Linked DNA regions of Oryzias latipes. The protein of the gene in region 2 interacts with the protein of the main gene of each other region in a pairwise test. Links are inferred from orthologs where the notes say so. Each region holds a gene or a part of one and is shown on either strand. Other genes may lie near its edges.

The links.
Region 1: the proteins of fam214b (region 2) and kif20a interact in binary tests that used the Homo sapiens proteins (3 or more experiments, as listed by UniProt). The two-hybrid records come from large-scale screens. The link is inferred for Oryzias latipes from reciprocal best matches to the Homo sapiens genes ATOSB and KIF20A.

Annotation. Positions count from the first base shown.
Region 1 is NC_019872.2:14,183,242-14,187,615, forward strand, and holds the start of kif20a (kinesin-like protein KIF20A), read left to right. Parts: upstream 1-1,490; 5' UTR 1,491-1,716; intron 1,717-1,933; 5' UTR 1,934-1,939; coding exon 1,940-2,113; intron 2,114-2,315; coding exon 2,316-2,426; intron 2,427-2,515; coding exon 2,516-2,635; intron 2,636-2,713; coding exon 2,714-2,852; intron 2,853-2,939; coding exon 2,940-3,115; intron 3,116-3,190; coding exon 3,191-3,290; intron 3,291-3,425; coding exon 3,426-3,638; intron 3,639-3,738; coding exon 3,739-3,850; intron 3,851-3,924; coding exon 3,925-3,999; intron 4,000-4,076; coding exon 4,077-4,217; intron 4,218-4,319; coding exon 4,320-4,374. Other genes in the region: cationic amino acid transporter 2-like, read left to right, coding at 1-105, 180-346, 526-634, 745-830. UniProt on the Homo sapiens protein: Mitotic kinesin required for chromosome passenger complex (CPC)-mediated cytokinesis. Following phosphorylation by PLK1, involved in recruitment of PLK1 to the central spindle. Interacts with guanosine triphosphate (GTP)-bound forms of RAB6A and RAB6B.
Region 2 is NC_019867.2:3,984,961-3,989,547, reverse strand, and holds the start of fam214b (protein FAM214B), read right to left. Parts: upstream 2,975-4,587; 5' UTR 2,622-2,974; intron 1-2,621. UniProt on the Homo sapiens protein: Transcription regulator that may syncronize transcriptional and translational programs.

The DNA.
Region 1 (4,374 bases), on a different chromosome or scaffold from region 2:
TCACAGGCAAACCAGAGCCTTTCACAATAAGTGGTGTGTTAAGTCCTCCATCTCAAGCAACATTCCGGACATCAAAAAATGTGTCTCTTTTAACTCTTTTTACTAGTAAGTAATTTTTCAAATTAAACTAAACACCATATTAATTGCTATTTTAATCAAACACTAATGTTATGTTGCAGTTTTTTTAGCTGTCATCTTAAGCCTTTTCCTTCTGGAGGCTGCCACCGCCCTGCACACCCATCAGGTGTGGAGTTTGCTTTGTGTCATTGTGCTTGTGCTTATGCTGGTTCTCACAGTTCTAATTATCTGGAGACAGCCACAGAATACATCGAAAGCTGCCTTTATGGTATGTCTCATTTTTTTGTTTTTGTTTTTTCTTCATGATGGAAATTCTTTGATGAAACTGCTAACTAACCATGCTTAGTAAAATAACTGAAAATGAAAGCTGTCACTGAGAACTCACTAAATGATTCTCGCACATATCCATGGGTTTGTCATAACACTTGCACTCCTTGATGTGTGCAGGTTCCTTTAGTGCCCCTGCTTCCGAGTCTTAGCACTTTTATTAATGTATACCTCATGGTTCAGCTTGGATCAGACACCTGGATTCGCTATTCAGTGTGGATGGCTGTAGGTATGAAAAGAATATTGCACTAATTTGAATATTGCTTTAACATTTCTCAAAACATTGTTTTGCATGAGAATAACCACTAGTGATGTCTTTTATGTCTTTTTTTTTATTAGGCTTAATCATCTACTTCTGTTACGGAGTTCAGCACAGTGTCCAAAAACAAAGGCTCCAGAATTCACAGAACCAAGTCCATTTTTAAAGCATTAATGCCACGAAAGAATGAAATTACTGGACCTGGGAAAGATTTTTATTGGTTGACCGTGTGCATATCTCACAGTTGTGTTTTGTGTATTTCTTCCTTTATTGTATGTACAAAAAACTCTTTCTCAATGCTACTATGATTTATCTTCATGTCTTTTTTAGGTTGATGGTGTTTAAGCTGAATGCTTTTATGTAAACCACAAGAATACCAATGTTCTTTATAGATTATATGCAGGCTATGTTTAAATACAGTATGTAATAATTATTGTATTTTTTTATTCTTCTAATTATGCAACAGGGGGTGAAAAAGTTTGTTTTCTTCTTTCAGTTCCCTTTAAGATTGTGTGTGAAATTTTGTTTTTGTTTTATGGAAATGAAAGCAAATGAGTAAAAATATTAATATTAATATAAATATTAAAAACAATGAAACGGTGCACAAAAAATTTCGATCTTTCTTTCGATCTTTTTGGTTGGTTTGCCTTTACTGTTCTTCTGTTTGTCTTTCAAGTTTTATTTTATTTTATTTCATTTTATTTCAGGAACGAAAAAGGAACTCACAAGTTTCGTTTATGTTTCAGAAGGAAGTATTTTAACTGAACACCGTGTCTTCTGCTTCCAGCCAATTGGAGCATAGCATACGCCCTCAAGCAGCCAATCAGCACCTAACTGAGGAGAGCAGCGCATTGTTCAAAAAATTTCAACGCATTCAGGCGGAGTAAACAGCCCGGTAGCCCAGAAAACCGCAGTTGAAAACCCATGGAGAGGATTTACCAGATATTTCGATAGTGTTTAATTCTTTAGACAATTTAGGTGAGACAGAAAGGTTGGCTATTTCAAACATTGGGATCTAAGCGAAGGAATTTAAATCTGACCTGTGCTAATCGGTAAGTTTTTGTTTTGAAAACCTGAATTTTCAAGACATGACAAAACATATAAGGAATAAAAGTTAAGTTGTGCCAATAATTCCCCAAAGTATGCTATGTTAGGTAACATTTGAAGTAAGTGTGTGTTTAGCATAAATACAAAATAGATTCTTCTGTAAATTTCATTTAGGGAGTGCCAACAACACTCATAACGGGAACGTGGTGTGTTTTGTGACAGGAAAACATGGCGTTGGCGTTCTCTTTATCTTCTCCATATGGATGTCCATCCGACGAGGAGGAAGAGATGGCTGTGTTCGAGTCCACAGCAGCAGAGCACGGATGCCTGACCAGGCCGCGTCTGCCTGAGCTCTCGGTCATTTCTCCTGGTCTGGAGCCTCGATCATCTGTTGCAGCTCAGGTGAGGATCTGCTGAATCTTGCAGTTTGGAGTGGTCAAACACAAGGTTTTTGTTCCCGCTATGCACCAAAAATGTTAAAATAATTTGTTTTTTCCTATTTTTATATTTTGAATTTTGGCGTGTTTAGTGTCAAACTTATCAAAATATTAGGGAAAAAAAGCTATAAATTTGGCAGCAATCATTGATTCATGTGTTTTTTCAGAAAGTAGTAAAGAAATCTGGAATCTGTGATGAAGGGAATATGGAGAAGGTGAATGTTTTCCTGCGTATCCGACCGCTTACAGACTTGGAGAAAGAACAGGGCGAAGAGCAGGTGAGTTATGTTGTCATTTCCACAAATACTTTTTTGTGGTTGTTTTCAGTTTTGATGCTTTTTACACTTAATTTTTGCTCCTCTTTCAGGGCAGTGTGACTGTCCAAGATGATGCCACCGTGCTGCTCAAAGCTCCAAGAGAGTCTCAGAATTCAAAGACGGCAGAGAAGGGAGTCACTCAGAGCATTCACAAATTCAGTTTCTCCAAGGTAAAATAACCAAACACTGTATGGTACCTCTAGAAAAGATGGATCCACAATTTTCTGTTTTCTCCTGTTTTCCCAAAGATCTTTGGTCCAGAAACGACGCAGCAACAGTTTTATGATGCCACGCTGAAGAAAATGATAAATGAAGTTCTTAAAGGAGAGAACAGGCTTCTGTATACATATGGTGTCACCAACTCTGGAAAGACCTACACCATCCAAGGTCAATTTTATTCATTCCCTGAGATGTTTTCAGCACAGCATCTGGTTCCTTTACTCCCATATTTGAGTTTTGAATGCCATTTTACAGGCAGCGGTCAGGAAGCAGGCCTCCTGCCTCGAGCTCTAGTATCCCTGTTCAGGAAGCTGCAGGGCCGCCTTTACAGCGCCATGGACCTGAAGCCTGTGATGTCTCAGGATGTGAGGCAGCTCGACTCAAGTGAGGTCAAGATGGAGGAAATTCGCAAAAACTCTCTGCTCAAGGAGGTAAATAGAAATGGAAAGAATGGTGCTATACTTAGATTTTGACACGTAATTTGAGGTGTTTATCGTTATTGACAGGATGAAAATCTAACGTCTCGGCGAGCTGGGACTACCACAGTTTGGGACAGCGGCGTTGGAGGACTTTCCTCCACAACTCAGATCACTACACAACTGGAAGGTGAGGAGGAAAGCCACGTGTTGACAAGTTCTGTCATTTTTAGATGAAAGTAATATGATCTAGTGAGGCATTTCCTACAGGCCCCCACTGTAAGAACGTATTCACCTGCTATTAGACCAAATTTTCTTTTTGCAGACACTGACAGTGTGTGTTTGGAGCCGGACAGCCTTTCTCTCAGTGGAGGGGACGACCTGGAAGAAGGGGTGCAGTTTTCCATCTGGGTGTCCTACTTCGAGATCTACAATGAGTTCCTGTATGACCTGCTGGATACCTCACTCTCCCTGCAGTCCCGAAAAAGAATCACACTGCGGCTGAGTGACGACAAGCAGGGCAACCCCTACGTGAAAGGTAACACCAGCTGGTCCTCTGGAACAAGTCTCTGCTTTGTGTTTGACTGTATAACATGTATACATAACGTTGAGTTCTTCTTCCCCTTTCATCGCCACAGACCTTACCTGGATCCAGGTGCGGAGCGCAGAAGAAGCCTGGAAGGTTTTAAAAGCTGGATGTCGAAACCAGAGCTTTGCCAGCACTCATCTTAATCAAAACTCCAGCAGAAGGTAGGACCCCAGCAAGAGGTTTTCTGTTTTGAATTCTTTTTGTAGCATATCTAATGGTTAATTCATGAATTCAGCCACAGCATCTTTTCCATCCGCGTTCTGCACGTCCACCCCGATGCAGTTCCAGGGCAAGCTTTGCAAATCAGCGAGTAAGTTCAGCTGCAGCAAGCTCAAACTCAGTGACATTATTTTGGGCGCTGCCATGTTTTGATCATGCACTTTCCAGGCTGACTGTGTGTGATCTGGCCGGATCTGAACGCTGCAAAGAGCAGCGTCTTGGAGAAAGGATGAAGGAAGCCACCAACATCAACACCTCCCTTATGACCCTGGGGCGCTGTATCAGCGCCCTGAGGCACAACCAGAACAAGTAGGTGTAAAACTGACACTTTGGTTGGACCGAGCAGAACAAAATGTGGGAGCTGAGTTGTTGAGTGAGGGATATTCAAAGTATTTTGTATCCCGTCAATAGATCACGGCCACCTCAAGTGGTACCCTTTAGGGACAGCAAACTGACGCGCGTCCTG
Region 2 (4,587 bases):
AACTTTGCATTTCAGGGTCTTTCTATAGGTTTTCATCTATGATCTAGAAACTCAGCAGGAGGCACAAACAGGGAAGCTGCAGGTTTTTAAAGGGACCAGCTTCTTCCTCTTGTCAACCGACTGACCTTTAATGGTAAACCAGAAGTTAATAGTTAGGATCACGTGTTTGAGAGAAGCTGCAGGCCAAGCTGCTGTTACTTAGAAACCCAGACGGTTAAGAAAGACATTATTTTTAACCCGTTTTAAAATAAAGACGCACATCCTGTAAAATCTTTTTTTTTTTTTTTTAGTGGCTCAAAAATAAAAAGGAATCAGCTTGTTTGCTTTTATGCAGACAAGGATGGCAGCGAGCCAACCTTTGTCCTCAGCAGAAAGACCCTTCAGCTCATTATGTCTGCTTTTTGTCTTTGGGTTGAATGATCTCCAGCCTCACAGAAACATAAACGGTCAAGTTTCTGCCGCTGAGGTTTCACAAAAGAAGAAAGAGGAAAAATAATGGGTTGTCACTTTGTGCAGCACAAAAGAGGTTGTTAGACAGAGGACCTTCAGTTTCCCACACTCCTGCAGGTTAGCAGGGTTTCTGAGGAGGATTTAAACTAGAGAAGCTACTCAAGATAGAAGTTTTTGTTTGAAATATATTTTTGCAGGTTTGCACAACCAAGCTTCCCCAAAAAAAAAACGTTCTAGACTTTTGCATATTCTATTCCAAAGATGTAATTTGGTTTTGCAGTGTGAGACTGCACAAACATGCAGTCACACGTAAACACATTACCGATCAATAAAGCCCTATAGCAGTGTTGAGCACTGGATCTAACCCACATAATAACTTCTAATCTCTGACATCTAATCCAGCAAACGCAGACTGGAGGGCTGACAACAAACCCTCAGCAGCTCAAAGCATTTAATAGCTAGACTCGTTCTTTCACCCACACACGTCAACAATGCTTGTCAGAGACACACACACACACACACACACACACACACACACACACACACACACACACACACACACACACACACACACACACACACACACACACACACACACACACACACACACACACACACACACACACACACACACACACACACACACACACACACACACCCACACACACACCCACACACACACCCACACACACACACACACACACACACACACAAAATAAATGTGTTTTTATTTTATTTTATTTTATTACAAGCACATACAAGAAGCCTCCAATGAAAAACTAGCCACTTGATTTGCCAAAAAGGTGAAACGGAGAACAAGCTGAGGACAAAAGGGTCCACGGTCCATTAATTCACCCTGTCAGATTATCAGATGACCTCTGCATGAGTAAAACTGTAAAGTGTTACTGCACTGCAGGTAGTATGAGTCAAAGGGCATCTTCAAAGAAACTGTGACACCATTAGCATCTAACTTAACAGATATAAGACTCTAAAAGCCTCCAGTTTTGATAAAAATTAGACTCGACAAAAACGTATTTTATGTGACATGCTTACAAAACAGAAACATGAAATACAGGTCAACGTGGAATCAAGCTAGCAGAACATTTAATGTCTGTGCTACAAGTGTCCACCAATCCCCACTGCAGCATTTGAGCTCCTAATCTTCCAGTTCCAGGTACATATCTTTCATTTCTAATATAAATAGAGGGCATTCATCAAACACATGTCAGGGCTTCACCCTTTGGGGGAGCTAAGTCGTAGTGCATTTGTGCACGGGACAAGCCCGGGCCAAGGTTTGCCGAACAACATGTCCATCGCCTTCAGGGTTGGTTACACCAAAGATCTGCATGACGTCACACTCAGCTGAGGACAAAGCCCACTTGCTTTCTCCCAGACAGAGAGGTGGGGGTAGAGCTCCAGCAGCTCAGCAGATACATATGCATGTGCAGAAACAGATATGCCAGGCAGCTGCAGGATACCCACGTGCAGATGTGCTGCCAGGCTGATGCCTCGGCATGTGCATGACGAGATTTATCATGCAAATGAGGCATTACAACCCAATGAAATTGATTTTACACATGTTTGCCACAAGGGTTTTGCACCAACATCAGTTTGGCCTCTTTTACTGCATGATGCAATTTAACTCCCAAGTGCAATCCAAGGGAACAATACACCCACTGCACACAGTGCTGTCCTGCAAGATTTACTGTTCTCATCATCAATGCACCACTGGATCCAATTCATAATCCAGGATATGCCCCACGGTTGGATGATCCCTCATTCTCACAACTATTATATTTTACACATGCATTGCAGTAACCACTACTGAGCTATCATTTTTATTTAAAAATATGTATATACATTATTTTGCTAGGCTGGGCTTGCACACATAAAGAAAAGTGGCAAATAAAAGGCAGACAAAGCCTGGGAACGCCCCCTAAATCCTGCAGGGTAGCTGTCATTTTATCAGCTGGATCAACCTTCATTCCAGACATTTTTGTCTCAACCCACAAGCAGAAAATAGAAAATGCAGCATGATTACAGGTAAAGCGTAAAAATAGCTCCCACCTGCTCTTTAAAGGGACGTATGTACATTTATTTGTTTAAACACATCCAGTCGCAATTAAATAAATAGACAACAAAGACACATCAGTGGATTTGAAGTGACTCACCTCTCAGAAAGGGAGTCTCGGACGCAGTTCCAGGTGATCACTGACGTGTGTCCGTCCGGTGCCTTTTTTTTTTTTTTTTGTTATCGCCCTGCCGTGTTGACTGCTACGTTGTCGGTTTCTAGGTAGCTAACGTTCCCGAAGCGTAAAATCGACCTCAAGGCCAGAAATCGTTGACCACATTAGCCGTGAAAGTCCTCAAATAATGTTAGTTTGAGCTCTGCCGCCTCGCCACACAACACCTCCGTCCTCCTCTCTTTTTTTCCAGCCTTATTTCGTCTTTTTTTGTGAGCTCGCAGCTGTTTTCGTTGTTGCAATCTCCTCTGGAAATTCCTCGTCTGTCTCTTTAAGAGAGCATTTCCGGGATTTGTTGAAGCGGAGGGCGGGACTTAGCGTACAGCTGGGTGCCTGTCATTTAAACGATTGGCTGTCCTGAAACCCCTCAACCAATCAGCGCTCGGAAATCCAGACGGCTTTAATATATTTAGATTTATGCAAGAATTCTTGATTTTTATTGGTTAGTGGATTAGTTCAGACCCCACCCAATACACGTGCTTTTTTCCCCCCCCCTCCCAGTTTTAGTGTCAGGGAAGGCTTTTGTGCTAAACCACTTAACATTTATGATGAATCATTTTAGTTATTTAATAAACGTTTACACCAAACGGGTTGTGAAATACGGTAACCAATAAAGATTAATAGCTTGTTACTTTTCTAAATGAGTTCTAATCTCCTACTTTTCCATCCCTTTTACTAAAACAGAGGAACCGTGTTGACACAGAGCTAAGAATAGATCAGCTATATGTTGTATCTCCATAGTGCAGCTGCACGGACTCCACGCCCAGCAGCCCACGGCTTACTGTCACTATTCTGCTCAGCCATCAGGATGAGGCCTGCATGACAAGGGCTTTAAAAATGGCCTTATGCTCACGTGACAGCCTAAATAAAAGTCCACATGGTTGCTCTTAACATAGTTGCATTGCCTAAGATTGATTATGGTGTAAAGCAAAATTATTAATAATTGACAGAAATGACCTCCATATGTTTTTATTTTAAAATACACTATCAGTGCTGTCTGCGAGGATTTTACAGTGACTGTTTTTGTTTTGTTTTTAACAGTAAAAATCTTCTATAGATAGGTATATGTTCCTCTCTGTGTCCCTACAAAGAATGGTATGTTTTTTTAAATTGACCAGAACCCATCTGAAGTTGACTGGATAGTGAGCACTAAGCTAAATGTGTGCATTTTGCGCCCTCTGCTGTTCACCTGAGAAAAGACACCTTTGTACAGGAAAAACGTTTATTTACATACCACAGCCATTCTATTTGTGTCACTTATAATTAATTTTTGATTACATTTATTCTAAAATTTAAATTAAAAAAATGATCATAATAATAATGACACATTTTATTCATATAGTGCCTCGCTGGACACTCAAGGTCGCCTCAGTACAAAAAAATATGTAAATATTCACGTTTTTATTTAGAAATTGTTAGTAATTTACAAATAAAATAAATTATTTACATTAAAAGAAATCCTTTTTTCTTGAATAAATGTAAAATTCAAATTTACAAATGTAATTTATTTTATGTTATGTTAGGGTTTTTTGTGTCTTTTTTATGTAACTTTTAAAAATGTCAATTTTTTTAGTGTTTTTTTTAACCCATTTGCTGTTTTTAATTGAGCTATACAAGTTCTATTCTATTCCATTCTATTCAATTGAGACTAAAAGCAGACAAAATGATGGCTCTAAAAAGACTGTGGCTATTAATTCAGTAGATTCATTTGAATTAATCAAAATTCAAATTTGAGAATTCAGTTCTTCTGTTTTTTCTTCGAACCCTCTCAGAATCCACTTCTTCTTAATTCCCTGTCCCTTCTTCTCTGGATTTTATTATATTTATTTATTTTTTGTCAGGAGTCTACCATTTGAGGTTTTTTTATAATCTTAATAAAAATTGCAAAAAAAAA